4 linked regions of the Macaca mulatta genome follow. The protein of the gene in region 2 interacts with the protein of the main gene of each other region in a pairwise test. Links are inferred from orthologs where the notes say so. Each region holds a gene or a part of one and is shown on either strand. Other genes may lie near its edges. The genes, in order: SSX2IP, CCNH, DUSP12 and KLC3.

Evidence for each region.
Region 1: the proteins of CCNH (region 2) and SSX2IP interact in binary tests that used the Homo sapiens proteins (3 or more experiments, as listed by UniProt). The link is inferred for Macaca mulatta from reciprocal best matches to the Homo sapiens genes CCNH and SSX2IP.
Region 3: the proteins of CCNH (region 2) and DUSP12 interact in binary tests that used the Homo sapiens proteins (3 or more experiments, as listed by UniProt). The two-hybrid records come from large-scale screens. The link is inferred for Macaca mulatta from reciprocal best matches to the Homo sapiens genes CCNH and DUSP12.
Region 4: the proteins of CCNH (region 2) and KLC3 interact in binary tests that used the Homo sapiens proteins (3 or more experiments, as listed by UniProt). The two-hybrid records come from large-scale screens. The link is inferred for Macaca mulatta from reciprocal best matches to the Homo sapiens genes CCNH and KLC3.

What each region holds. Positions count from the first base shown.
Region 1 is NC_133406.1:155,908,691-155,915,950, reverse strand, and holds part of SSX2IP (afadin- and alpha-actinin-binding protein), read right to left. Parts: intron 5,660-7,260; coding exon 5,509-5,659; intron 3,656-5,508; coding exon 3,519-3,655; intron 3,176-3,518; coding exon 3,002-3,175; intron 2,749-3,001; exon of another isoform or gene 2,380-2,748; intron 1-2,379. UniProt on the Homo sapiens protein: Belongs to an adhesion system, which plays a role in the organization of homotypic, interneuronal and heterotypic cell-cell adherens junctions (AJs).
Region 2 is NC_133411.1:93,770,722-93,777,981, reverse strand, and holds the end of CCNH (cyclin-H), read left to right. Parts: intron 1-2,050; coding exon 2,051-2,162; intron 2,163-6,185; coding exon 6,186-6,246; coding exon of another isoform or gene 6,247-6,303; exon of another isoform or gene 6,304-6,798; coding exon 6,799-6,837; 3' UTR 6,838-7,020; downstream 7,021-7,260. UniProt on the Homo sapiens protein: Regulates CDK7, the catalytic subunit of the CDK-activating kinase (CAK) enzymatic complex. CAK activates the cyclin-associated kinases CDK1, CDK2, CDK4 and CDK6 by threonine phosphorylation.
Region 3 is NC_133406.1:105,161,706-105,169,490, forward strand, and holds the start of DUSP12 (dual specificity protein phosphatase 12), read right to left. Parts: upstream 4,878-7,785; 5' UTR 4,845-4,877; coding exon 4,501-4,844; intron 2,964-4,500; coding exon 2,850-2,963; intron 2,765-2,849; coding exon 2,646-2,764; intron 2,262-2,645; coding exon 2,165-2,261; intron 1,224-2,164; coding exon 1,037-1,223; intron 1-1,036. UniProt on the Homo sapiens protein: Dual specificity phosphatase; can dephosphorylate both phosphotyrosine and phosphoserine or phosphothreonine residues. Can dephosphorylate glucokinase (in vitro).
Region 4 is NC_133424.1:57,869,594-57,876,888, reverse strand, and holds the end of KLC3 (kinesin light chain 3), read right to left. Parts: coding exon 7,232-7,295; intron 6,941-7,231; coding exon 6,871-6,940; intron 6,447-6,870; coding exon 6,227-6,446; intron 5,744-6,226; coding exon 5,656-5,743; intron 5,581-5,655; coding exon 5,479-5,580; coding exon of another isoform or gene 5,206-5,478; exon of another isoform or gene 5,182-5,205; intron 4,987-5,181; coding exon 4,813-4,986; intron 4,064-4,812; coding exon 3,973-4,063; intron 3,896-3,972; coding exon 3,858-3,895; intron 3,789-3,857; exon of another isoform or gene 3,770-3,788; coding exon 3,663-3,769; intron 3,465-3,662; coding exon 3,401-3,464; intron 3,272-3,400; exon of another isoform or gene 3,159-3,271; coding exon 3,087-3,158; 3' UTR 2,978-3,086; downstream 1-2,977. Other genes in the region: ERCC2 (general transcription and DNA repair factor IIH helicase subunit XPD), read left to right, coding at 1,155-1,247, 1,331-1,403, 1,660-1,730, 1,826-1,969, 2,132-2,275, 2,761-2,853. UniProt on the Homo sapiens protein: Kinesin is a microtubule-associated force-producing protein that may play a role in organelle transport. Plays a role during spermiogenesis in the development of the sperm tail midpiece and in the normal function of spermatozoa.

The sequences.
Region 1 (7,260 bases), on a different chromosome or scaffold from region 2:
GCAAAACAAAACAAAAAAAAACGAAGAAAAAATTCACTTAAGAAAAAATTACATTTAAAAAATAGAAATTCATGTTTCACCTACTAAACCAACCATCACTGTCTTCATATCAATTTTAAGTTCACACGAACAATGCAAAAAATGGAATAGAATATTAGCCTAACTTTTGAACATACAAAACATTACGAAGTTACAAACAAAAGAAAAACATTCTATATTGTAAATTAGTCACTTGAAAAAAAGGACCTATGACTTCATCAAGCATTTCTCTCATCCTCCAGCCATCTACCGGTACTGGTAAGCCACCACCACTAAACCACAAGAGGGCATATGCAAATTATGTCAAACCTCCCCCTTCTGAACAGCTGATGAATCCTAAACTAAATTCTCCATCAGCCCTCAGGTCTTGCATGCCTCCCTCCTATCCCTCACTATGCACACCATCCCAGTGACCAGACGGAGAAAGATTCTCATGCAGGGAAAGGCACCTGGCAACTGGGAGCAATATGCAAAGCATCAAGAGTATCTGTTGGAGTACTGTGGGGGATATGGGCTCGGAAACAGGTAGGACACAATGCTGGTGCAAATGTTCCCTGAAGATAGCTACTGATGAAACAGACATTTAGACTGGAACTGAGGAAATCCATGTCAGCTACTTAAAACAAGCAACACACAATCTTTCATTCATAAATATTGATACAGAATTATGCATCACCAAACATTTGAGAAAACTAGTAATAGAAAAAAGGTCAAGATAAATAGAAAACTGACCATGGATAACAGATAATTCAAGAGATGAAAGAAATCTTTAAAAAAAAGGTAACACATATTATCAGACAGATTAATAAACATCTGTAAAATATCATCACGCTATATAAAGAAAAGCAAAAATTAGGGACATTAGAAAATTTTAAAGATAAATTCTGAAACAAAAACTCAGTGGCTAAAGCAAATAATAAAACTGACCCTGAAAGGCCAGTTTCGTGATCTCTAAGACAAAGGTAAGAGAATATTCCAGAATTGAGAACAAAAGTCAACCTGTAGATATATATTCAGAAGGCCAAATGCGTGTCTAACAAAAGTTTCAGAACACAGAGAAGTCAAAGAAGGAAAAAATAAAGATGAAAATTTCCCTAAATTAAAGAAATACAGAACCTTTAGGCTGAAAGGAACTCTCCAGACATATCCCGGTAAAATGTCTAAACTTTAAAAAAATACCCAAGCTTCCACAGAGGGAAACAGAAAACAAAACACAGATATCTACAAAGTAACACAGGTATATTACAATCAGGCTTCTCATCAGTAAAACTAAACACTAGGAGAAAGGGAATAATTCAAAGTTTTGAGGGAAAAAAATGTAATCTAAATTCTACACCCAAACCAATCATGTATGAATATATTTTTGAATATTCCAGAATTCAGAATGTTTATAGCTCATGCACTATTTATAAAAAAAAATTACTCAAGAAGGTAATACAGCAAATTGAATAGAAACCCAAGAAAGACAGTAACATGAGATATAAGAAACATGGCAGCCGAATCTGATTCAGGAAATCACAAAGGAAGCTACAGAGAAAGTCAAAGAATTCACTAGATAGTGATATATCTGGGTGGCAAAGTCTTAACAATACAGAGTATTTTCTGTGTCAAAACATATTTGGTTATAGAATTATATTTACATAATTGTAATGTTATCAATTTTCTTTCCTGGTTTTCCAACTTTGAAGTCTCAAGTTTAGACAAAGTACTTATACCTGGATTGTATTGAAGGACAAACTATAAATGTGATAACAATGAAAAATAGTATCACAAACAAAAACTGCAAAGTAGGGGAGCAAGAGAGGTAGAACAAGAGTAACTACAAGAATGTCCTCAGCTTTCACTGCAGGGATGAACTGACACTGACTGAAGTTGAACAAACATAAAATGAAATGGAAGCTTCACATTATTTCCTTAAAGCAAAAAAAAAAAAGGCAATCAGAAGAACAAAAGGAACAACATTATGAAGACATGAGATGTGAATGAGGAAGGGTGTAGGCAGGAGATACAATAAGGACACAGAATTCCTTATCTTTCATAGCAGAGAATCAATAAACTGATAAAGAAGAAAATTTGAAATACATTAAAAGTTAAAATAGTACTTCCTACAAGAATTTCCAACAGATACTTTTAACAAAAGTTACCTCTAAGGACTGAAACTGGGGACGGGAAAGGAGGAGACTTTCTCACTTTGTAGCTTTTTTTATGAGTTTTGTTGATTTCTTTTAACTATAGTCAGACATTACTGCTACAATTTTTGAGGGGGGAATATGTTAGAAGACACATTGCTAAGTAAAAAAAGCAAGCTACATGGAGAAACCCTGTCTCTACTAAACATACAAAATAGGCCGGGTGTGGTGGCGCACGCCTGTAATCCCAGCTACTCAGGAAGGCTGAGGCAGGAGAATCGCTTGAACCCGGGAGGCAGAGGTTGCGGTGAGCCGAGATCGCGCTATTGCACTCCGGCCTGGGCAACAAGAGCAAAACTCCGTCACAAAAAAAAAAAAAAAAAAAAGCAAGCTGTAGAGCATATATATAACAATAGTGGACTGGGGAGAAGAGAACTTAATTTTTTTATTATACTTCCTTTTTAAACAGCAACGCAGTCTTGGTTGCACTGTCTTCTGACACCACACCTACTGACAGTGGATGAATGATGGATACCAAAAGAGATTTCTTGTGGAAATCTCTCAGCAGGAGAAAGCCAATCTGAAAGGAGTAATAAATGCTTATAGCCTTTTTTTTTTTTTTTTTTTTTTAGTTCAGTTCTCAAATCTGGTAAGGGGAAATAATCCCATTCTATATGCTCAGCCTCTCTTTCATTTCAAATTATTTATGAGATCACCAGTAAATATTTTAGAAAATAAGTAAATAGCAAGAAACCAAAGTAGACCTTAGAAGCATTCTACTAAGGCCCACCCACCCCCAGTATTTTCAAAAGCACTACCATTATTTAAAATACCTCCAATCCCAGGCGAATAGCGGCTTCTGTAAAGCTTCGTCTTTCTCTCTCAAAATTCTTTTTCTGCTCTTTAAAAAGCGACCATTCTTCTTTGAGGCGTTCCTTTTCTTCCAACAAATAACAGTCTCGTAATAGTGAAGTGGTATCATCATCACATGCAGTAGCAAGCTGCTGCTATTAAAATTTAAAACATAGTAAGTTCCTGAGGGGCCCTGCAACACTCCAACAACTTGAAATGAAAGCAAAGGAAGGTGGGTCAAACTTCAGGGCAGGAATATAAATTATTAAGAATCCAAAAGTCAAACGAGAATTCCCATTTCCCAAAAGCTACGACCCCAACTAGCAAAGTATGGACTATTTAAGGAATGGTACACAACGTATCTGTTAGCAGGAAACGTAGACTAGAAAACTGTCAAATACCAGGGCCTTATGAAATAAAGGAATACAAATCTGCTAACGTTCAGCACAATTCTGGCTTCTCATGGAGAACAAGTTTTACAAGGTAATTCATATTCACCTGCAAAAGCTGTTGCTGAGTTTTAATCATTTCTTTACACTGCTGAATTTCTAACTCAAGTTTTTCAGTTTCTTGTTCGTGGTCTTGTCGTGAGATAACATCTTCATCATTAAAACCTTCCAGGTGTACCTTTGAAACTAAGACAAAATCAGTAAGTTGACATAGGTTTTATAGCCACCATTTAGTTTACAGTGTTTCTACACATATCGTTAAAATAAGGGCTCTCAGAACTTTTATCTTTCTGGAATTTTATAGGTTTTCTAAAAAGTAGTTATGTCCTTTGGCTTTTTAAAATTTCATAAGCTATAACAAAATTACATTTATATTATTTTAACATTATAAAAAATTTTTAAGCAGCACAGCAACTACAGGAGTTCATGACAATTATATATTTGTACAATTTTAAGACTAAATGATATGCTTACAAATGGAGCTCTATTGCCAAGATTTAATTTGTAAACCATATTTATTCAAGATTATGTCCTAATTAAAAACAGACAAAATGGCCATATTCAGAGAAGAGAAAAATAAAATCATTATGTTTTTGTTGACACTGCTTCAAAGATCAATGACGTGTCACAAATCTTGCTCTCAAATATTAAATTCAACAAACACGAAGTCCAAACACACTTGCTATTTGCTAGTAGACAGCACTGACTCAAATGAACAAAATCTCGAGTATATTCATTTTGGTGTTGTAATAATAATTTTGCCGATTGCTCTTTACTACTTAACATAATGGCATTGAGTTCATATTTTGACAATTTAAATTTTTTCTTTAAATAGGCTTCATTTACTGAGCAGAAATCTTCATTTTCCTAATTTAAAAGCAAACTTTACCAAGTAGAAAATATTAAGAATATATTCATCAATGTAGAGCTATGTATAAGGAAAAAGAATAATGTCTGAAATAATAAAGTGAAAAAAGCACACTAAACAAAAATATAGGTGATATTCAATTTTTAAAAAATTTTTAAAAATAAGTATCTTGCAAATCCATAGAGGAAAGTCTAGAAAAATATACACCCAACTGTTAAGTGTTATATGTATGGAATGGAGACCTGGATATTCTACTTTATATACTTCCAAATTAATATTTTGCATTAAACATCTATTATTTTAAAAATAATTTTAAGTGAATTACTAGGAACACAGTAATCTGCAAGCATCTAGAAATAAGCAAAAAGTTCCTATCTATACTATGATAAATATTTCTTGATTTTTTGAGAGTCAGTAAAAGAGACTCAGTTTTCTCTCTTTTTTGGGGGGGAACAGGTGGTGTGTGGTTACATGAATAAGATCTTTGGTGGTGATTTCTGAGATTTTGGTGCACCCATCACCCAAGCAGTATACACTATATCCAATGTGTAGTCTTTTATCCCGGCTCAGTTATCTTTATTCGATTGTATACTGCATCCAGAGCAGATGGATCCATGATGTCCTCTTTTCAAACATTCACCCTGAGACCAAAGTGTATTTTTCTCAGTGAGGTTCAAACCTCACATCTAAATGTATGTAAAATCTTGGCTGTGCACTGTGGCTCACACCTGTAATCTGGACACTTTGGAGAGGCCAAGGCAGGTGAATCACTTGAGGCCAGGAGTTCAAGATGAGCCTGGCCAACACAGCGAAACCCCATCTCCACTAAAAACACACCAAAAAATTAGCTGGCTGTGATGCGCGCCTATAGTCCTAGCTGCTCAGGAGGCTGAGGCAGGAGAAATCACTTGAACCTGGGAGGCGGAGGTTACAGTGAGCCGAGATCGCACCACTACACTCCAGCCTGGGTGACAGAGCAAGGTTCTGTGTCAGAAAGTAAAATAAAATAAAATGAAAAAATAAATGTATGCAAAATCTTGCTTTCAAACCACCAAACTGAAGTATATAGTACTTTAGCTCTGAGCCTACAGATATAGCTTTCTAAGTGACTGAAAATCAACACCTTACCAAATGTCACAACTCACTTTACATGCAGAGAAGCAGTGGTTACCTTGGTTATCAAGTTTTTCTACATGACTTTTCAAAATTCTCCACTGTTTTCTGATGCTGTTTGTAAGCTGCTCTCTCACAGTTTCACAGGAAAGGTCCCACATGCTCTCTCTGCTCAGTTCCCCGGCATCTTCTTCAACATCAGAAATAACCTACAAGTGGAGAGAGATGAAGAGGAAAGGCTACCACTTTACAATGGCTTTAGATGCTCAGGCAAGTAGTCTTCAGTTTGATTTCCAGAGGGAGCCGCATCCGAAGCATTTCTGTGCTGTGTCTTATGCACATATGACCCAGTATTTAACATAAATGTCTTGGAAAAAAAAAAAAGAAAAAGACAGAGACTCCTAAATTCAGCTCGCTCTAAACCTGAATTTGAATCCAAATACAGTTAATCCAAATACAGTTAATGACAAGAGTCATGAAGCTGTCTGAGGAGATATCAATAGCTGTCTAATGTGTTGGATGTTTTCACACGTTATTTAACCCTCAGCTCATTACAATGTAGGAAAACTGAGGCTTAGAGAAGCAGCATTACAACTAAGAGGCAGAACTGATATTTGACATTAGATCAACTTGTTTCTAACCCTAGGCTGCTTAAAGAAACACATTTGTGAAATAATCTCTGAAGTACTTAATAGAAGCAACTGTTAATTCTATTTTCCTCATGTACTTTTGTATACAACTGGAGATATTTTTCTTTGTATTCTGCCAAAACATGAAATCATAAAGAAGTAGCAAACTTTACTGATATATGATCATACAGAATCAAAGCAGGATAAAGAACATGGGGAAACAATACTAAAATGGATATATGTCATAATAACCCACATCTACATAAAGTAGTTCTAATTTGTCATTAATATTCAGGAAGGTAGAAAGATACGCTTCACTAATTTGAACAATAAAAATCTTGCTGGGGTAAAAAGGAAGACAAAAGCTGAAAAGAAAGAAGGGCTGATTCGACTGCTCTCACATAGAGATCAGCAGGATGAGGGAGCAACTGAGTCTGAAGAACTCTATCAGTAGTTGAGGTCAGCAACGGCTAGTAGAGGTCAGGGATTCAGAGGCAGAGCAGACAGGGGAATGGCCCAGGATCTGGCTCATGGTGATTCTAGCCCCTTCCAATCCTCAAAAGCTACTTGCCAGTAACTGTTTCAAGGAAGCACAACTTGTCTTCTGAACATTTTAAAGCCTATTAGAATACTACGAATCTGTTAGAAAAATTATTGGCCAGGCGCAGTGGCTCACACCTGTATGTAATCCCAGCACTTTGGGAGGCCGAGGTGGGCAGATCACAAGATCAAGAGATCGAGACCATCCTGGCCAACATGGTGAAACCCTGTCTCTACTAAAAATACAAAAATTAGCTGGGCGTGGTGTTACATGCCTGTAGTCCCAGCTACTCAGGAGGCTGAGGCAGGAGAATCGCTTGAACCCGGGAGGTGGAGGTTGCAGTGAGCCAAGATGGCACCACTGCACTCCAGCCTGTAAACAGAGCGAGACTCTGTCTCAAAAAAAGAAAAATGAGTAATTATTGCACATTTCTCAGATTGAACAGAACTCTGTAACCACAAAATGAAAATAAAAAATTTGGCTGGGCACAGTGGCTCACACCTGTAATCCCAATACTTTGTTAAGGCCAAAGTGGGATGACTGTTTAAGCCCAGGAGTTCAAGACCAGCCTGGGCAACAAGACCCTGCCTCTAAAAAACCAAAAAACAAAACAACAAACTCATTTTACCTGAATTTTTGG
Region 2 (7,260 bases):
TTAAAGATGCTTGCCTTGAAAATTGGAGTGATGTGGTTGCAAGCCAAAGGAAGCAGGCAGCCACTGGAAGCTGGAACAGGCAAGGAATGGATTTATCCCTGGAGCCTCCAGAGAGAGTGTGGCCCTTCCAGCACCTTAATTTTGGTGCAGTGAAACAGATTTCAGACTTCTGGGCTCCAGAACTATGAGATAATAGATTTCCGTTGTTTTAAGCCGTCACGTTTGTGATAATTTTAATAGCAAGGTTGGGAAAATAATACAGCCCTGAATAACCAAGATTTATCCAGCCCAAAACGTTATGAGTGCTGGTGTTGAGAAACCCTGTCCTGAGTTGAGTAGAATCTCTACTTATTGGCTGAATTAACCAGCATTCTCCATTCCTCATTCTTGCCCATGGCACACTTGGTCATGGCTGCTAAGCTACTCTTTGGGGTTAAAAGTCAATCATGTGGCCGGGCGCGGTGGCTCATGCCTGTAATCTCAGCACTTTGGGAGGCCGAGGTGGGCAGATCACGAGGTCAGGAGATGGAGACCATCCTGGTGAACACTGTGAAACCGCATCTCTACTAAAAATACAAAAAATTAGCCGGGCATGGTGGTGGGCACCTGTAGTCCCAGCTACTCAGGAGGCTGAGGCAGGAGAATGGCATGAACCCGGGGAGCAGAGCTTGCAGTGAGCAGAGATTGCGCCACTGCACTCCAGCCTAGGTGACAGAGTCAGACGCCATCTCAAAAAAAAAAAAAAGTCAATCATGTTTGTTTCCAAACCTTGTGTAAATTGTTCTTGTTGATTAAATTTGTAATGTAATTAAATGTTAAACCAGTAAAATACAAGATTGAAATCTTGATCTTCGATGAGAGTAAATGGGTATACATTTTACATATTTTGTGTTTTAAAATTTAAGATGCTTCAGGGCATCTCTATCATTTCTTGATTCTCTGCTCGAAGTGATCCTGAGGGCTTCCTTCTTGGAGAATGATGGCTGTGGTTTATGAATTATAAACTGTAGGTCTTTAGTTATGCCACTAGGGGGTTCACTTTAAAAGCTAATTGTGATTTGACTGTAGCTGTTAGGATCATAGAACTTAGTAGGTAAAGGGGGTCTTATTCCAGTGTACTCATTTCATAGCTTAGTTTTATTACTGATTTCTTCTCAATACCTTTGTTTTGCTCCACTTATTTTAAAATGAAATAAAAACAGCTCTTTATGAAACACTCAGAAGTTTAATGCTACTAAGATACTGGTAATTTTTGGAACACAGATACTGTCCTAAGGGTGTTGAGTTACAAGTATTAATTCAATTAAAAATACTGTTTTGTTTGCATTATGAAATAGGTCACTAGTGTAGTCATTTGGATCACATGGCTGGCTAACAGTAATAATAAGCTCATTGGATCTCATTATTCCCCTAATGTTGAAATTGGTATTCTTTGGTTTATTATAGTTGAATAGCAAGATCAGCTAGAGGATGCTTTTGCAATTATAAAGTTACTGATATAGTAGTTTGCTTTTAACCTGAAGTGGACATTTTTGTATAGGGTCTGCTTTTTGTTAAAGCAAAGGATTATTAACAAATTTTTACTAAGCATCCTTCCTTTATTGCATGTTGTGTAATAACAGTTTACTTTGTAAAGAGGAAGTATACTGTTGGCCCACTATCTATGGAATAGAATATTACAAAGATGGTTGGTGATAGAGAACAAAACATGTTCACTAAATCATTTAGGGATTTTTTTTTTTAAGTCTTAAAACTGAACAAGAAGTGACCCCAGTAGGATTTTCAAAAAATACTAGATTATACAGTGTGCTTTATGTTATATATGATATGGGCTAAACAGCAGAGAGCCATAATTACTTCAACTAAACATGCAGTGCTTATTGGATTTTAATGTAAAATGAAATGCAGAATGATGCAAATCCTGAGAAGAATAACCATGTCATTTGCAGGGTGTTTTGTTGTTTCCTATAACAAAATGGAAAAGTAACCAGCTCCGCTACTATAAGAAGGTTTGCTTATTCAGTTTAAATTCTTTTTTGTATCCACATAGGCATGAGAAACTTAGTAAAAAAGTATGAGCCACCCAGATCTGAAGAAGTTGCTGTTCTGAAACAGAAGTTGGAGCGATGTCATTCTGCTGAGCTTGCACTTAATGTAATCACGTAAGTTGATGTGACAGTGTTAATCAATAGACATAATTGTTACCCAGTCCAACTGGTTCGTAAATCATTTTATTGGTGTTTGCTCATTTGAGGAAAGCTGACTGATCCATTAAATCAGATTTCCTTTATTGAATGGACATTTCTAATGAGATTAAGTTAATAGTTTGGCATTCACTGTGCAGTTCTGATCCTGCTGTGACTCATATGTTCTTTGGCTTGCAGGCCATTCTGTTCTGTTACTTCTCATGGGATTTCAGGGGTCAGGGTCTTCCTAAGGAATCCTTTTACCTTTTCCTGTCCTTTTAATCTTTGGTCTCTCTGAAGCTGTGATACCTGGTCTGAGGAACAAATATGCTGTTCCAGACTTCTGTTAGCTAGAGTAGGGAAAGTTGGCATACTTGCTTTCAGTGACAAACTTTATATTGACGATAAAGCCAGTAGGAAAATAGGCTATTTAATTTCTTCTTGTAGCTAGACATAACACCTTTAATGTCTCTTAATTGATATGTAAGCTGAATGTGGAAATCACCATAAAATTGGCAATGCATGCTTTGTAAATTGAAAGATCCACTTAAACTTTCTCTTTTAGGTGTTTAAGCAGTTGGGAATTTGGACAGGTACTAGGATTAATTAAACTGTCATTTTCTATTTCCTTTGGGATGCATTTTGTTACTTAAAATTATACTGTATTTGTTAAAATTTAGTAAGAGTTATCTGTGGCATTTTATATTTAAGATGTATTGAGGTATTATTTCTGTAATTGGTGAATATGTGCTGCTGGATACCTATGAAAAGCCAGAACAGCATTCCAAGGCCCTTATGTCAAATACACATGATTCAAATTCCTTACCTATACAGTTGTAGTCGGGGAATATATAGGGAGTTAGGAAGTGTGCAGAATATGAGGTTGTTTTATTATAGGTAGAGCTATAATGACAAAGCATGATTTAGCACAGAATTTGAAATTGGTGGATTCCATTCACTCCCGGGTTTCAGTGGTAACAGGAATTTTTCAGAGTGGTTACAGAGAAGTAATGTTGGCTTTAATGAATAAAAGTATTGCAGCACTGATTATGTTCTTTTTGCATTGATTTTGAAATGGGATTAGACCAGGGGTTGGCAAACTGTGGCCTATCAGGCCTATCCAGCCCATTAGCTGTCTTTAAAACAGTTTCTTGGAATGTAGCACACCCATTCGTTTATGTATCACCTATGGCTATTTTCATGATACAGCAGAAAAGTTAGGTAGTTGAAACAGAAACTGATTATAGGGCCTTGCAAGACCTAAAATATTTACTGTCTCTTTAAAGTTTATCCACCCCTGGATTAGACCACTGAACTATTAATCCTACCTTTTCTAGCTAAGTAACTGAATGGACCATAATCCAGAATTCCTAACTACCATAGCTTACATTTTATTCCAGATTGCCATCTGCCTTGTACTGGGTGGGCCAAGCAAATTCTGAATACCTATGAGTACTTGAGGGGTGCTTCTTAAACTGTGAAGGACTTTTTTAAAAAAATTCACTAGATGTATACTTGTGTAAAATTCAATAAAAAATGAATTACTAGAAGAGTGAAGACTAAAAACATAAGCTCAAGTTTTATTAGATTCAACAGTCATAAAATTATATCAGATTACTATTAAAAATTTCTAGGGCTGGGCACAGTGGCTTATACCTGTAATCCCAGCACTTTGGGAGGCTGAGGCAGGCAGATCACCTGAGGTCGGGAGTTCGAGACCAGCCAGCCTGGCCAACATGGTGAAACACCGTCTCTACTAAAAATACAATAATTAGCCGGACGTGGTGGCGGGTGCCTGTAATTCCAGCTACTTGGAAGACTGAGGCAGGGAGAACTGCTTGAACCCCGGAGGGGTCACAGTGAGCCGAGATCACGCCATTACACCCCAGCCTGGGCAACAGAGTGAGACTCTCAAAAAAAAAAAAAAAAAAAAGAAAAGAAAAAAAAAAACCTTCCAAACACAATTCCTATACTTAACTCACTGCAAACTGTGCAAACTGTTCATGGAACAGCCCTGGTACTCACTACCATGAGTAGTGCTACTTTAGGACTAAATATTTGTTTTCCTTGATCTTCAAAATTATTTTACCTTTATTTTTCATGACACAAAAACTGTTTGGTCCTTGTCAGTCAATACAAGTGAAACCAAAGTTCCCTTTGATCAAAACCCAAATCTGTCATGACCTCAGAAGTTACTTAGCAGTTGTTTACCTTTGCCAGCCTTTTCTCTGCACGTATATCCATATGTATTTATGAAATAAGTCACATTTTCTTCTTCTTTGCATCTTTCATACGTATTGTACAACGTGTAATTATCAATGCTTAGCTTTTGCTAGTCTGAGTGAAAAAGTACCACATTGGTATTTTAATTTGCATTTTCTTAATTATGGGGCATTGAAGTTTCCACGTTTAACAGTCACTTATATTTCTACTGTGTTGCTTATTTATTCCCCTTGTCCAATTTTCTGGCTTTTGTTTTTTTTTTTTTGAGATGGAGTCTTGCTGTGTCACCCAGGCCTGAGTGCAGTGGCGCAATCTCACTGCAACCTCTGCCTCCCGGGTTCAAGCAATTCTCCTGCCTCAGCCTTCCAAGTAGCTGGGATGACAGGTGCGTGCCACCACGCCCGGCTAGTTTTATTTTTTGTATTTTTAGTAGAGATGGGATTTCACCATGTTAGCCAAGGATGGTCTCAAGCTCCTGACCCCCGCCCACCTCAGCCTCCCGAAGTGCTGGGATTACAGGCGTGAGCCACCGCACCTGGCCACATTTTTGTGGTTTGTAGTGCTTTATAGATTCTATATACAGTCATTTTTCAGTATCCATGGGGGATTGGTTTCAGGACTTTCTGCTGATAACCAAAATCCACAGATGCCCTAATACAAAATGGTGTATTTGCATATAACCTGTACACATCCTCCCATATACTTTAAATCATCTCTAGATTACTTATAATACCTAAATACAATGTGAATACTATGTAAATAGTTATCATACTGTATTCTTGAGGGAATAATGACAAAGTCTGTACGTGTTCAGTACAGATAGAATTTTTTTCCTTATTTTCAATCCGCAATTGGTTGAGTCCACAGATGTGGAAACCACAGGATACAGAAGGCTGATTGTATTTATTTATATATGATATATTCTATTGTTTTTCACAACTTTTTTCCAAATACTAATTTTTGCCCCAGCTCCCATAACCCCACTTTTTTGAGAAAGTCTGTGTCATCCAGGTGGAGTGCAGTGGCTCGATCTTTGCTCACTGTACCCTCTGCTGTCTGGGCTCAAGTGATCTTCCCACCTCAGCCTCTCGAGTAGCTGGGACTACAGGTGCTCAACCACGTTGGTTAATTTTTTAATTTTTTTTGTAGAGACAAGGTTTCGCCACATTGCTCAGGCTGGTCTCAAATTCCTGGGCTCAGGCGATCTGCCGCCTCGGCCTCCTAAAGTGCTGGGATTACAATTGTGAGCCCCTGTGCCCGGCAGGTCCCAGCTCATTTTTTATTTCATGTTTTTCCTAGTTATTTGAAACAGTTTTTATCACACATTAAATCTGTACTTCTGCATAGTCATTACTTTGCTTAATCTAGTCTGATCATTGATTTATGATCTCACTTTTAATTACCATAGCTTTTGTAATATCTCACTTTTAATTACCATAGCTTTTGTAGTATGCTTTGAAGATAACTGGGACAAGGTCTTCCAACATTGTTCTTTTTTATATTATCTATTTTTTCACACTTCTTCCTAGGTCAGTGTTAGACTTGACAAATTCCATGAAAAATTTTATTGGGGTTTTAATTAGAATTGCATTTAATTTAAAGATTGATTTTAAAAGTATCATTTTCCCTACCCATAATCTTCATCTTTTTCCATTTATCCAGGCCTATGTTTTTCAGTATATACATGATATTGCATATGGCCTTGCTAGTTTATTTTACATTTTATAGTATCTGTGGCTGGTATTAGATTGCTTATTGATAGTTGCATAATTATAGGAAGAAGAGGAAAGGCTATGAAGATGATGATTACGTCTCAAAGAAGTCCAAACATGAGGAGGTATGTTTTACTCCAAAGATGAACTCTAAGTCATTTTTGTTACACATTCTGGTGTGATTATACTATTAAGATTTGTTCTCCAAGAGTATAAGCATTATAGAGTTGTGGGTTTTTTCATTTTTTGCATACTTCCTTACGTACAGTACTGTTGTCCATTATTAAAGGGATTTTTCTCTCTTCTGTCTTTCTTGATGAAAAATCCTTCTTGTGTTCATAGAAAGAAGCAATATGCATACATACTACATTTTTGCTTTATTTCTTATTTTCCAAGGATTTTTCCCTTACCCCCTTTTAAAAACAAATTTTCTGTCAAGTCAGGTAAGTGAATAATCAGAGGCAGAAGGTCACAGTTGTAACCTTTATTCCTCATTGGAGTAGTCTGGTGAGACCATGCCAACATTACTAACAGTGAACTATTACAAAATTTCCTGGTTTATCTTTTGTAATCCACATGGGTAAAAGGAGGAGAACATTTTCCTAAAGGGAGGTAAGAGGTAAACAATACTGGTTATGCTTCAGTGTTATCCTTACCACACTTTTTTTCCTTCTTAGGAAGAATGGACTGACGACGACCTGGTAGAATCTCTCTAACCATTTGAAGTTGATTTCTCAATGCTAACTAATCAAGAGAAGTAGGAAGCATATCAAGCGTTTAACTTTATTTAAAAAGTGTAATGTGAAAACAAAATATATTAAAACTTTTCTATTACTTTCTTTCCCTTTCACAGTAACTTTATGTAAAATAAACCATCTTCAAAAGAGCTAGAATAGCACCTGTTTTGAATATTCTTATTCCATCATGACTAATATCAAATTAAAGCTGCAACTTACTTGCCTAATTTTTTAAGCAAAATATGATAGGCAAACCTATGCTTTTTTAAGAAAAAGGCACCACAAAACCCAAAACTTAGTAGCTAGCTTTAAAAGTGTTAAGGAATGTGTTTTGCCCTCTAGAAACCTTTATAAATGGCTTTTTGAATGCCATCCTGATACATTTAGCTATTTGTCCATTAC
Region 3 (7,785 bases), on a different chromosome or scaffold from region 2:
TCTTTGTTTTTCTTTTTTTCCCCACACACTGGTTATAGGAGCAAGAGAATGAGCTGCATTATTTAACTGGAAATGAAAAAGAATCTCATAGTAAAACATACTAAATTTCAATTTCCTAAAAGATCAGAAAAAAAAGAGAGACACATACAGGAAGCCAACAGAGAAGAAGAAAGACAGAACTTTTAACCTAATTTTAAAATCCCTGATTTACCCTACTCTTATTATAAAAGTTCAAATATTGTTAAATACATTTTTTTTTAATTAAAAATTGTTTACTTTCTTTTATAGAGATGAGGTCTCACTATGTTGCCCAGGCTAGTCTTGAAACCCTGGGCTCAAGCGATCCTCCCGCCTCAGCCTCCCAAAGTGCTCAGATTACAGGCATGAGCTAATGAGGCATGAGTGCTCAGCCAACATATTCTAATTAGTTTAAAAATAAATGTTAGTCTTATATTTGAAAAAATATAAATAGCCTTAAAGGAAATTTATTAACTTAGGCCAGGGCTCTCAACCAGAAGTAGTTCACTATTTTGGATCAGCTGGTTTTTGAAAAATATTTTATTTTTGATAGGCTTATCTACACTAGAAAGATATAATCTTCAGAAATAAAGGAATTAAATGGAGTAAAACACTAGTTAAAATAAGAGTTTAAAATGCAAGAAGGGTGGCTCAAGCCTGTAATCCCAGCACTTTGGGAGGCCAAGACGGGTGGATCACGAGGTCAAGAGATCGAGACCATCCTGGCTAACACAGTGAAACCCCGTCTCCACTAAAAAATACAAAAAACTAGCCAGGCGAGGCGGCGGGCGCCTGTAGTCCCAGCTACTCAGGAGGCTGAGGCAGGAGAATGGTGTGAACCCAGGAGGTGGAGCTTGCAGCAAGCTGAGATCCAGCCACTGCACTCCAGCCTGGGCAAGAGAGCGAGACTCTGCCTCAAAAAAATAAAAAATAAAATAAAATAAAATAAAATAAAATGCAAGAAGGAATAAAATATAGATGATAAAATAAAATTGTAGAAAATAAAATGTGTTCTCACCTGTCCATCCATCACTCCCAACAAAGCAGATTCCATCCACTGTACAGGTTCAATGAAATAAGATGTACATTGAGCTTGTCTCCCTGTGGTAAGCATGAAAGATGGTGTCATTCTCTTGTGTGCAAAGGCTATAGGTCCACTTCCTTCATGGTGATCCAGAATACTAGAACTTCGAAATAATGATCGCCTGCAACCCCCAAACAAACAAAAACATTAATGACTTCCAAAAGGATGAAAACATGGATTAAATGTGCAGTATTTCTTTTTTGTTTGTTTGTTTGTTTGAGACAGAGTCTCACTCTGTCGCCCATGCTGGAGTGCAGTGGTGTGATCACAGCTCACTGCAACCTCCCCCTCCTGGGTTCAACTGATTCTCCCGCCTCAGCCTCCTGAGTAGCTGGGATTACAGCCACCCGCCACCATGGCCAGCTAATTTTTGTAGTTTTAATAGACACGGGGTTTCACCACTTTTTTTTTTTTTTTTCAGATGGAGTCTCGCTCTGTCGCCCAGGCTGGAGTGCAGTGGCGCAATCTCGGCTCACTGCAAGCTCCCCCTCCTGGGTTCACGCCATTCTCCTGCCTCAGCCTCCCCAGTAGCTGGGACTACAGGTGCCGGCCACCACTCCCGGCCAATTTTTTTGTATTTTTAGTAGAGAGGGGGTTTCACCGTGTTAGCCAGGATGGTCTCGATCTCCTGACCTTGTGATCCGCCCGCCTCGGCCTCCCAAAGTGCTGGGATTACAGGCATGAGCCACCGCGCCTGGCCGGGGTTTCACCACTTTGGCCAGGCTAGTCTCAAACTCCTGACCTCAGGTGATCTGCCTGCCTGGGCCTCCCAAAGTGCTGGTATTACAGACATAAGCCACCGCACCCAGCAATATGTGCAATATTGCTTAGAGGACAAAATAATGTAACACTGATTATGCTACTTAAATTTTCAATAACCCTTACAATCTGATTATTTCTCTTTTTAAGAATTTATATTCTTCCTGAAAACAGATCTGAACTAAAAATTTCTATATTCTTCAATTAAACAAAATCTTCCTACAGAAATTTAAGAAAATAAAACTTTAGCTACTTTTCAGTTACTGAGAAGATAAAATATCCAAAGGATACAAAATATTTTACCTGCACTTTCTACACTTGTAGAGAACCTCATCTTTCAATCCTTGTGAAACCGTGGTTGGGTCAACAGCAAAGAGTTCTTGAGGTAAATTCTGCAATTCTATATGATATAACTAAAATGTATTTATTTGTCAAAATCAACTGCATTTTCAGATAAATTCAGTTAATGTCAAATTGAGGCAAGAAGTGCTAACCTCAGAAATTAAAATAAAAAAAAAAAATCAAATTCCAGTGTTGAGAAATCAGGCTAAGGTAGGAGAGGACAGTGATTTAAGTACTTAGGTTCTGGGCACAGGCTGACCGAGTTCAAATCCCAACCCTGCCATTTATAAACCATGTGATTTTGAATAAGTTATTTCTGGCTAAATCAGTTTCAAAAAGAAACAATAGTTTCTCGGGGATTGCTGGAAGTGAGGTAATGCATGCAATGCCAAAAGTAAATGACATTTAGAAAGCCCATTACACACTAGTGATTATTACTTACCTGGATACTTCTCTGTAACCTTTTGTAAACGATATTGCTTATAAATTGCACTAGAGGTATCCACTTCATATCCCATTGCCTGGTATAATTTCAGTTGCCACTCAAACCCCTCATTCATCCTGTAATGATAAAGAAATACAAAGTTTCATTTTCTTAAAATAACATCACAAAAGCAGAATTATTACTATAAAAAAAAGAACCCACTTGGCCTCTGGTTTGAGAATCTGGAGCTTTTCATAGGCTTTTTCAAAGGGAAGTAGGTCAGTCTTCATGAGAAAAGCAGTTATTATGGCCACACTTCGACTGACTCCTGCGTGACTGAAAAAGAGACCTTTAAAATAAAACAGCAAATAGCAACAATTAAAAACAAACACACAAAACCCAGCCCCCTATTAATAGTAAAGTTTAGGCCCACTTCATTTCTACTTCTCAGATAAGCCCATTGCCTCTGAAATATTATCAGGTACAAAAGAATTATTCCTTTTTCCTCTTGAATTCTGAACCATGTGACTGTATTACCTATTCAAAAATAATAACAGTAATTTTAAAATTTTTTATAATGGCTCAGAACAAATCCAAACTCCTGGCTAGACACAGTGGCTTACTTACCCCTGAAATCCCAGCACTTTGGGCGGCCGAGGTACGGGATTGCTTGAGCCCAGGAGTTGGAGACCAGCCTGGGCAACAAAGTGAGACCCCACCTCTACAAAAAATTAGCCGGATGTGGTGGCGCGTGCCTGTAGTCCCAGCTACTCTGGAGGCTGAGGCGGGAGGATCACTTGAGCCTGGGAGGTTGAGACTGCAGTGAGCCGTAATTACGCTACTACACTGCAGCCTGGGTGACAGAGCAAGACTCAAAATAAAAATAAATAAAACAAAACAAAAACAAATCCAATCTCCTTTCATCTTAGCATTCAGGGACCTCAAAATCTGGTCCCAGACTTCCTTCGATTCTATCACTATCTTCTGTCTTTTATGTGCTCAATAAATTTAAACTATTGTTATTATACTCCAATCCAACCAAGAACTGCTTAGGGATTCCCATTTTCTTTTCTTTTCTTTTTTTTTTTTTTTTTTTTTTTTTGAGATGGAGTCTTGCTCTGTTGCCCAGGCTGGAGTGCTGTGGCACAACCTCGGCTCCCTGCAACCTCTGCCTCCCAGGTTCAAAGTGATTCTCCTGCCTCAGCCTCCCGAGTAGCTGAGACTACAGACGAGCGCCACCACGCCCGGCTAATTTTTGTATTTTTGTTAGAGACGTGGTTTCACCATATTGGCCAGGCTGGTCTGGAACTCCTGACCTCGTGATCCGCCTGCCTCCCAAAGTGCTGGGACTACAGGCGTGAGCCACCGCGCCCTGCCGGGATTCCCATTTTCTTTTTGTCTTTGCTGCAACTATCTCCTCCCTAGGTAAAGCCCAGGGATCCTTTAGATCCAAACCAATTCTCCTCTTCATCAACCACCCCCTACCCATCCCAAACAAAAACATTGAACCCTAAATCTTTGTAAATCCTGTTTACAAGACACCAAGCAACCTAATCTGCATTACAATCATCGGTGGGTGTCTAGCTTCTCCAACAGAGCCGTAAACTCCTTGGGGCGTAGGTAATTTGTCATTTATCGGATGACACCTCCCCCGCCCTCTGTTGCAGCAGGAAGAACCAACTAAAGCATGAATGAATGAAAGCCTGCACACACCAGGGGCCCGCCTCCAGCCTCCTCCTCTCTTGGATACACGCCTCCTGCGGGAGGTAGCTGGAGGAGGTTCACGCGGCATGACCGCGCTCTCGTCCTCCCGAGGGCCTCGGAAGGAAAGGGGTGCTTGGCGGGGCACGTCGCCACTGACCCGGCCACTCACCAGTGCACCAACACCGTACGGCCCTCAGCGCGGGCCTGACCGATGAAGGCCACGCACCGGTCCAGATGGCTGAGCAGATCGGTCTCGGGTTTGTCCAGCGCTGGCACGAAGAGGCGCCACAGATCCTCGACCCCAGGCCCCGCCTTGAAGCTGGGCTCCTCCGAGTCCACCGTTAGCACGGCCGTGATGCCCGCTTCCCTCAAGTGGTCTGGCTCCGCGACGGCCGCGACCCCACTGAGATACAGTCCTGGCTGCACTTCCAGCATCTGCCCGGCGCAGGTGGCTCTGCTGGCACCGGGGTTGCAGGGCTCGCAGCCATGACTCGGGCCCGGAGCCTCCAACATGGCCGCGCCCAGACACCAGGCGGCTCCTGCCCTACCATCGAGTAGGCTCCGGCTAGAACATCCTTCCCCTGGGACTCGCCAGCCTCAGCGGCTCAGCTGCTCCCTTGGAGGACAACGTTGGCCGCAGGAAAATGGACTTATCGCTAAGGGGCGGAGCTTCGGCCCCATTCAGCGCGGCGTTTCGTGCCCTGTTCCCTCTGACCCCCACCCCAAAGTTGATGGTAAAGGATAAGCTTCCCCAAATACAGGGTTTCTCTGGCTTTTAATATTGAAATTTTCAGGAGAGAGACATCAGGAGCAGCTGAACTCAAATGTGAAATAAAGGTCGCACCGGCTGAATCAGAAGCGTCATTTTATGCATTTGAAGTACAATTATTTTCAGTATTATAAAGCCATCTGTACTTTGCATCTTATGATTATTTTTCCTTTTTCTGCCCAATTTCATTATTGGTGTGTGAATCCTTGTTGATGTTTACTGTCTATTTATTTTGAAGATGTTAATCCTATATTTTTGTAAGTCAATGTCCTCCAGCCAGGACTACCCGAAACCAACTTTAATTAAGCAAGTTGGTTTTATTACTCAGTCATGAGCTATGGAGAGTTTCAGGGCATCTCAGCACGAGGATGTTAGGAAGATCCTATACAGATTTTGGGCTTTTATCTGGGGATTTTTGGAAAGGGTTTAAGGAAGCCGGCTTTGCTCCAGATTGAATGCTGCAGGAAGATACTCAGTACTATGAGTATCTTTTATTTATCTCTTGTATAGGGAGGACTATTGGGGGAAATTCAGCCCCCAATATTTCACGTAGGTTCTTTTCTATTTTCCCTAAGTGTCAGCTGGTCTGAGAAATAAAGGGAAAGAGTACAAAAGAGAGAAATTTTAAAGCTCGGTGTCTAGGGGAGACATCACATGTCAGCAGGTTCCATCATGCCCCCTGAGCCACAAAACCAGCAAGTTTTTATTAGCAATTTTCAAAAGAGAGGGAGTGCACAAATCGAGTGTGGGTCACAGAGATCACACGCTTCAAGGGCGACAAAAGATCACAAGGCAGGAGGTCAGGGCGAGATCACAAAGTCAGAGTGAAACTAGAATCACTAATGAACTTCCATGTCCAGCTGTGCACACATTGTCATGGATAAACAAGGTTCAAGAGCAGAGAACTGGTCTGACTAGAATTTGCCAGGCTGGAATTTCCTAATCCTAGCAAGCCTGGGGGCACTGCAGAAGACTAGGGCGTGTTTCATCCCTATCTACATCTGCATAAGACAGACACCCCCAGAGCAGCCATTTTAGAGGCCTCCTCTGGGAATGCATTCTTTTCCCAGGGCTGTTAATTATTAATATTCCTTACTAGGGAAATAATTCAGTGATATTTATCTTGCCCGTTTTCAGTAATGAGAGAAATATGGCTCTGTCCTGCCTGCCCACTGGCAGCCAGACTTTAAGGTTATCTCCCTTGTTCTCTGAAAATCGCTGTTATCCTGTTCTTAAGGTGCCAGATTTCATATTGTTCAAATACACATGCTCGACAAACAATTTGTGCAGTTAACGCAATTATCACAGGGTCCTGAGGTGACAGTCATCCTCAGCTTACAAAGATGACGGGATTAAGAGATTAAAATAAAGACAGGCATAGGAAATCACAAGAGTACTGATTGGGGAAGGGATAAATGTCCATGAAATCTTCACAATTTATGTTCAGAGATTGCAGTAAAGACAGGTGTAAGAAATTATAAAAGTATTAATTTGGGGAACTAATAAATGTCCATGAAATCTTCACAATTTATGTTCTTCTGCCATGGCTTCAACTGGTCCATCCATTCAGGGTCCCTGACTTCCCACAACAGAGGACAGGCGAGAGAGATACTAAAGTTGTAATTGGTCAAGACGTAGAAGTTATAATGCTGGTATAAAGATAGATACATCGATCTGTTTCTGTTCTAGAACAGAACAAACCCTTGCATGTGGAGTCCTAATTAGGGAAAAGGAGTCAGGCTGGCTGGACGAAGGGAAGCAAAAGGAGAAAGCAGATAAGCCACAAGTCTGCCTTTCTTCATGGTCCAGGACACACAGCCCTGCTGTGCAAATAACTCAAAATCTGCCTGAGCCCAGCCATCACCAGACCCCTAGCTGATAGAAAAATGGAAGTTAGTTCACTGCAACCTTGACATTATTAGTACTGCACAAAGCCCTCTTCTGCACACAACATAAGCACCATTCTACAAAATCCCCAGCAAGCCTTTGTTTTCTAGCAGTCAACTTCTCTCTTGCTGACCTGCCTGTTGTACCCTTGCAATGTATTTTCATACTTTCTCTAATAAACCTGTCTTTCTTTACCTACAACTGTGTTGGTAAATTCTTCCTACCACCTGTGTCACCAGCCCAGAAAGTTGTTGATCACCTGCCACATTGCATATATGTTAGAATAATCTTCAAAAAGAGTGTCAAGACCACACAATGGAAAAAGGACAATCTCCTCAACAGTGTTGGCAAAAACTAGATATCCACATGCAAAAGAATGAAGGTGGACCCTTACCTTGGACCATATACAAAAAATAACTCCAAATAGATTAAGGACCTAAAAATATAACATTCTTAGTAGAAAACATATGGGGAAAGCTTCATGGCCTTGGATTTGAAAAAAAATTTAAAACAGGTAAGGGTCAATGGTCTCATTGTCTAACGTGTTATCCGAACTTGTTGTCTCATGACTGAGAAAATTAAGGAGCGTGGGCACAAAGAGTGAGGTTGAAGCAAAAGTTTAATAAGCAAAAGAAGAAAGCTCTCCACAGCAGAGAGGGGAGCCCAAGTGGGGTGCCATTTTTACAGTTGAATTCAAAACATGTTATAAGAAACTCCTCTCATCTCTATAGCTGTTTGAGTAACTTCTCTTATGAATAAAGCTGTCTGTGCAACTTCCCTTATCTTCTACAGATGTGG
Region 4 (7,295 bases), on a different chromosome or scaffold from region 2:
TGGCGGAGTCACCCCCACCTTCTAGGTTCCTTGCTCCCCTGCTGCTCTTTGGGGCTACCCTATCCCTGTGATCCTCCAGCACAGATGGCCTGGTGGGGAGGCCCAGGTAGCAGGTGTGACTCTATCTAGGTTAGAGGAAGGTTCTAGAGAATCAAGGCTGGACTGAGACTCAGGGCAAAGCCTCTCAAGGGTCTGCAGGAGCCCTTTCAGGGAAGCAGGCAGAGGAAGTCATGGGGCATTCTGGAAACAGGGCTCACCACAGCCAGTCCCTGGGTGGGAGGGGAGGCCACTCTGCACTTTGTGCCTCTGAGCACACCATGGCCAGGCTCTCAGGAGTGGGTGAAAGCACATTGGGGCGAGGTGAGTGAACCTGGCTAATCCAAGTATTGGAATGGCACTCATGGGAGGCAGGAACCTCATCCTCACAGCCGGGACCTTGGCCTTGTGCTTCAATAGCTGGCTTCCACACGGCGGAAAGGTGATCCCGTCCCCACAGCCCAGGTTCCTTTTGTGTCCTATTTAAGACAACTTTGTCTTAAATACCCCAAGGTCATGAAGAGAGGCTGCTGTGTTTCCTTCTAAGAGCTTGTGGTTTTAGCTTTCACATCTAGGTCTATGAGGTACCTCAAATTCATCTTTCTATATGGTGTAAGGTAGGGGGTCAAGGTTCATTTTTTGGTTCCATTTGGAAATCCACTTGCTCCAATAAAAGCTGTCCCCACTGAACTGCACAGATGGCTGTGTGTTTCTGGACTCTCCATTTTGTCCCACTGGTCTGTGTCCTTGCACTGGCTCCACAGTCTGTATTGTAGTGTCATATGGGAAATCTCAGGGCAGCCTCTGATTGACTCTGCCTGCCTCACAGTCAGCCCCTCCACCAGTCGCTGGCAGGGGATGGGGTGCCCTGATTGGCCACCCCCTTGAGCCACATGCCTGCCCCACTTATCCAGCAGTGATTGGTTCCCCACCCAGATCACTAAGTTCCCCCCAAAGAAGTAAGGTTGGACAATTCCACCCTCCCTCCCCACATCTCAGATGAGCCAGCTGAGGCCCAGAGAAATAGTGATGTAGGAGAGTTGGAGATAACCAGGATGGCCGTGCCCTGAACCCACCTTCTGCCACCCCCACCCTGACCTCCCTGGGTCCTTCCCCAGGGGATCCTTGAGAACATCCAGAGGAACAAGCTGCTCTTTATTGAGACCCAGGATGGTGCCGAAACCAGTGTCGCCCTGGAGAAGTACCAGGAGGTGGGTGTGTGAGGCCAGCGTGGAGGGGGTGGGGAGGTGGCTCCGAGGAGTGACCCAACTTGCATCTTGCCTCCCCACCTCAGGCCTGCGAGAATGGACGCGGGGCCATCCTGCTGTCAGTGGCCCGGGGCAAAGTGTCTGAGGGAATCGACTTCGGTGAGTGGACTCGCTCTTCCTCCCCAGGTGTCTTCCCAGAGCTCTCTGGAACACCTGCTGTCTGCTCCCGCGGGGGACCACCCACCCACAGCCTGGGTGCACAGAGGGACCCTCCCCTCCCCTCTGGCCCTAGGCACCCGGCGGGAGCATACCCTCTCTCTCCCACTCAGACACAGCATCCTGGGGCGCGTGAGGCTGTCCCTGTCCCACCAGCCACACTTGTAACTCCCCTCGACCCCTCTCCTCTGCCCACCAGTGCACCACTACGGGCGGGCCGTCATCATGTTTGGCGTCCCCTACGTCTACACACAGAGTCGCATTCTCAAGGTGAGTAGCTCTGGCTCCCAGAAGTCCCAAAGTGTTAGGGCCAGGGGAGGGACGGCTCCCCCACCCCCCCAACTCCTCGTCCTTCATTTCTGCAGGCACGGCTGGAATACCTGCGGGACCAGTTCCAGATTCGTGAGAATGACTTTCTCACCTTCGATGCCATGCGCCATGCGGCCCAGTGTGTGGGTCGGGCCATCCGGGGCAAGACGGACTACGGCCTCATGGTCTTTGCCGACAAGGTGCAGGTTCAGGGGTGCCCCTGTGCTCGCACCCCAGCCTCTGAAAACCAGGCTATTTGCCCGTTCATCTCCCAGATGGGGTGTGTCACAGGGTGGAGGGTGGCCCAGGCTCCCTGACTCTGGTGCTGACGTCCTCTCCCTGGCCTGCACTTCTGCCCACAGCGGTTTGCCCGTGGGGACAAGCGGGGGAAACTGCCCCGCTGGATCCAGGAGCACCTCACAGATGCCAACCTCAACCTGACTGTGGATGAGGGTGTCCAGGTGGCCAAGTACTTCCTGCGGCAGATGGCACAGCCCTTCCACCGGGTGAGGCCTGCATCCCCCTCCCAGCATCCTCCCAGGCTGAGCTCCTCCTCCAGAAAGGCCCCTTGGATTCTCCCCACTCCCCAACCCCAGCCTGTCCTCCTGCCCTCTACAGAGAGAAGTTTATTGTGCATCTGCATGCCAGGCTCTGGGGGGTAGGGAGAGATTCGAGGGGCCACAGATGCCAGCAGGTGGCCCAGGCAAGGCAGGGTGAGAATTTGGGGTGAGGAGGTATCAGGCATTGAGACTGTGCTGGCCTGGGGAAAGCCCGTCCTTCTCCGACGCCCTGGCTGGCTCCTCCCTCAGCCCCCTCTTATGTGGACAGGAATGGCCCACTCTGGATTATACTGACATCTCCAAATTCAAACATCCTGGCCCTCATGTCTCAGACCCCTAATGCCCATCGGGGGCGGGTGGTCGGGGAAGTACAGCAGCTGCCTGGGCCCCTTCCTGACAGTGCCCCCCTTACTTTCCTCTGTTCTCTGCAGGAGGATCAGCTGGGCCTGTCCTTGCTCAGCCTGGAGCAGCTGGAATCAGAGGAGACGCTGCAGAGGATAGAGCAGATTGCTCAGCAGCTCTGAGCGGGATGGGCAGGGCCATAAATGATTCCTGGTGACTCCTGAGTCTTGCCTGGCCCTAAACCAGCAGCTCTGAGGCCGTAGCGGGGGTGGTGCTGGAAGGTCTTATAAACTCAGGTGACATTCCTCACTGTCACATCCACGGCCTTTAATCGCAGAAGAGGGCAGGGGGCACCTAAGAGATGATAGACCCCCCCCGTCCCCCACCAGCTGAGGCCAACACAGGTCACTGGATATTAGCGGGGACTCAGGTCCTGGGTGCTGGTGCTGAGTGTCCGAGGGGCCTTGTCCAGGTGCCAGCTGGGGAACTGGAGACAGGCACAGGGGATGGTTGGAGGGGAGGGACAGGTGCTGCATCCAGCCTGGCAGCCAACCGTCTACCCATCTCACCTCTACCCCAAGTAAAACCCATCTTTGCTCCTGTCCTGGGTCTCTTTTAACACACCCACCACCTGCTGACTCTGACGCCGGCCTGACCGCCCTGCTTTTGCCTTATCTCTGCACCTACCCACGTGGCCCCACTCCATTTTTGACCCCGGTGTCCCCTCACCTGAGTCCCAGGAGCCCTTGGGCCATCCACATTGAGTGTGTTGAGCGACATGGCTCTCTTCATTCTGCGAAGGGGGCAGCAGGGAAGAAGCGAGTGAATCCAGGAGTGGCCCCTCCAGGAGGGAGCTTTCCAGCACAGGATTTGATCTATGTGTATCACAGGGGAGATGGGAGCCATGGAAGGTTCTTGAGCAGGAGGGGTGGGGGGTGGGCTATGAATTCTGCTGATGTCAGGGCTCTTTGCCGACCTGATCCACACTCACCCGGCCGCCCCCGCCGCCCCCTCGCCTCGGAGGCGGGAGACCAGCTTCTCACTTCCTCGCCGGATAGACTCGCGGATCTTAGAGAGGGAGCTGCTGCGGCGAAGGGCCTGGGGAGGGGCAGGGATGCTGCTCATATCTCCGAGCCCATGCAGTCCTCACGCCTTCCCCAGGAGCCGAAGCACAGCCCATCCTCACCTGTTCTGTGTCACCAGCTGTGCCTGTGTTGGGGGCACCTAGGGGAAAGATGGGGGACACCGAGATGGGGACGTAGAGAAGCCACCAGGAGGGAAGGCAGGGGCTCGGGGCTCACCGAGAGGGGCAGGTAGATCCTCCTTGTGGAGGATTTCTTTGTACAGCTCTTCCGCTTGTTGGTACTTGTTCTGTTTCAGGTAGGCTGAGGCCTGCGGAGAAGGGAGTGTCTTGGGTGATCTTGGCTCTAGTCTGGGAACTTTTCGGACCCCAGTTCCCAACACTGCATCCAGTCCCACTTTTTTTCTTTTTTTTTTGTAGAGACAGGGTTTTGGTATGTTGCCCAGGCTGGTCGTGAACTCCTGGCCTCAACTGATCCTCCTGCCTTGGCCTCCCAAAGTGCTGGGGTTACAGGCGTGAGCCACCACACCTGGCCCCAGTCCCACTTTCTACTGTGCTGACCTGGCCATATCCCGCCCCTGCCTAAAGCCTTGCCCTGGGGCAGAGGGGGTTTGGAGCTCCGCCCTACCTCCTGCCTGGGGGATGGAGGGCAGGCAACCTCCTGTTTCTGAGCCTGTCTGCTCTACTTTGGGCTGGTGGCATGGCCTCTCTTCTCACATGCAAAGTAGAGTGACAGCTTCTACCTCATAGGGACACTGTAAGAACTAGTGATGTGGGGACAGAGCTAAGAGGGGAGCCGGCCACAGTGAGCTCAATAAATGTCTGCTGCTGCCATCTGTGCCTGCCAGCTTCCCCTTCACTGACTGTCCTGGGTCCCGTGGACTCACGCATTTCCTGATTCCGTGTTCTGTGCTGAGCCAGCTCCTGTGTCTGATAGGACACTTGCTCCAAGGGCCCTGCCTCAGGGGGACCCCTCCCCATGGTGCCCTGTACCCAACCAATGGGTGCCTCCCCAGGGCAGACCCTCCACTCTGGGCCCACTCAGCCCCAGGGACCTCACCAGATTGTTCTTGGTCTTGGCCACGTTGGGATCATGGGGCCCGCCCAGGGCCTCATAGATGCTCAGGGCCCGGGCGTAGTGCCGTTCCACGTCCTCAAACTTGCCCTGGTTCTGGCACAGCAGGGCCAGGTTGTTGAGCTGCTTGGCCACATCAGGGTGGTCAGCACCTAGGACCTGGGGGCCAGGGGTCACAAGTCAGAGGGGTCATACAGGATTGGTGGGACACGTGACATCACTTCTGTATGGTGGTCACAAGTTAGGGATTACAGGGCCAAAGCAGAGTGACCTGAGAGGTTGGGGGCTGGGGCACAAGTGACACCGTCGAGCGGGATTACTGAGGTCAGAGGCCAAGGTGATCCAGAAACTCACGGGGCACAAGGTGAGATGGGTAGGTCAGGGCTGGGCTTGTGCCAGTGGCCATGAGGGGTTGGAAAGGCTGTGGCGGGACCTAGTTGGGGGGTGGCGTGTGAGGTAAGGCAAGAGGTCAGAGTCAGGGTCAAGACCAAACTGGGATCTCAGAAGGTCGAGGGTGATGGGTTGGGCTCCAATTGGGGTCTCCCAGTACCAAACGCAAGGGGCCCGAGGATCAGGGTCACGATGTAAGTGCTCAGGATCCATGGAGAGGGCTACAAGGGGTTCCTCGGGGTTGGGTAAGGGGGATGGGACCTTCTCTCGGATCTCCAAAGCGCGCTGGCACAGGGGCTCTGCCTCCCGGTAACGCCCGCGCTTCCCATAGAGGACGGCCAAGTTGTTGAGCGTGGCGGCCACCTGTGGGGTTGGGGGAGACACAGGTCAGGGATGGGCAGGCATGGCCCCACTTCGTCTCCCTGGGGCCCCACTCACCGCAGGGTGCTCAGGGCCCAGCGTCTGCTCCCGGATCTGCAGGGCATCATGGAGGAGCTCTGTGGCTTCTTTGTACTTGTTCTGGTCCCTGTGTGGAAGCCCAGGGATGGCGGGGGTTGGCCGGGGGTTGGGGCAGCTACAGCCACAGGGGCTGGGCTAATTCTGGCAGGTCCAGGGAACCTGGCTGAACCAAGCATGGGTAGCACCCTTTGGGGGCCTTTTATGGGCCCTTACATACCTTCCAATTCTCTAACACCAGGCCCTGTATCCCCAGACCTCTGCCAAGCTTCTAACCACCCCAGTTCTCTTGCCTGCTCTTGGGGTCCCTGGTGTCTGTGCTCTGACTCCTCTCTGCCTGACTCAGTGCCCCGCCAACCCGCCAGATCCCTGGCCCACTCCCTCTTTGCCGTTCTTACAGCAGGAGCCTTCCCTTCCTTTCCCATTCTGGCTGTCCCCTCCTCCGACCTCCCCAGGTGCTCCATGGTGGCAGAGGGGACCAGGGTCCCTCCACTTGCACCCAATGGGTCCCTGCCGTTCCTGCCCCCTGCCATCATGGCCGGCCGCATCTCACCGGTATACCAGTGCCAGGATGTTGAGCATGGTGGCCACGTCAGGGTGGCAGTGGCCCGAGCTGCGCTCCAGGTCCTCCAAGGCCTGGCGGCACAGGGGCACCGCCACCTCATACCGGCCCTGCCCCGCGTACTGGATCACGAGGTTATGCAGGGTCCGAAGGCGGGCAGGGATCTCATAGCCACCCTGCTGAGCTGCTGCTGCTCCTGCGGCCTCAGGACCTGGGTGGGGCAGGGTGGGCTCTGGGTCACTGCAAGCCTCCTAAGCCTCCTGCCCCTCCATCCTCGCACGAGGAGACACACGCCCCAGACTGCCTAACTGGCCCCTGGGACTATGGGCCCCCATGTTAACTTCTGAGATTGGAGTCACTAGCATCTAACCAGCTGGTGGGATGCATCCTGGCCTCGGGACAGGTACATGGCAGCTCACTTGCCCTGCAAGATGTGAATACGGGGCCTGCCGGGCTCATGGCAGCTACCCTGTCTTCGCAGCTCCCAGCCTCACCTGCTCACTGTCACATTCAGGGTCCTCCTGACCCTGCCCTCACCTCCCCATCCCTGTTCAGAGATTTTGGGGTTCTGCAGCTCAGAGCCCGCTCCCCACCCTGGCCCGCCATCATCTGTGGCATGTACTCCCGATACCCACCTTTCCTCTCCTCCTCCTCGCTGGGGAACAAGGAGGCCAGGCTGTCTCGGCGAGGCGGGGACTCAGACTGCTGCAGGGACAGGAAAGTGGGGGGCCGGGGGAGGGGGGCTTGTTTCAGAGACTGGAGCCCTGCATCTATCTCGGGGTTTGAGGGAGGTGGTGATCATGAGCGTCAGGGGCCCCCTGGGGGACTGGCGAGGCCCGGGGGCTTCGGGGAGCAGCTAGTGGGGGCGTCTGCGGAAGTTCTGGTGGGTCTGGGGGCTCTGTGGAGGGTTGGGGGACTGGGATTCTAAGGAGGGTCTGGGGAACCGTGGGGCTCTGTGAAGGGCCCAGCACCCCCACCTTGCCCTGCCCGTGGCACCTGGGTCTCCGTGGGCGGGTCGTACTGTCGCAGCTGCCCCAGGAACTCCAGGTGGCGCTTTTCC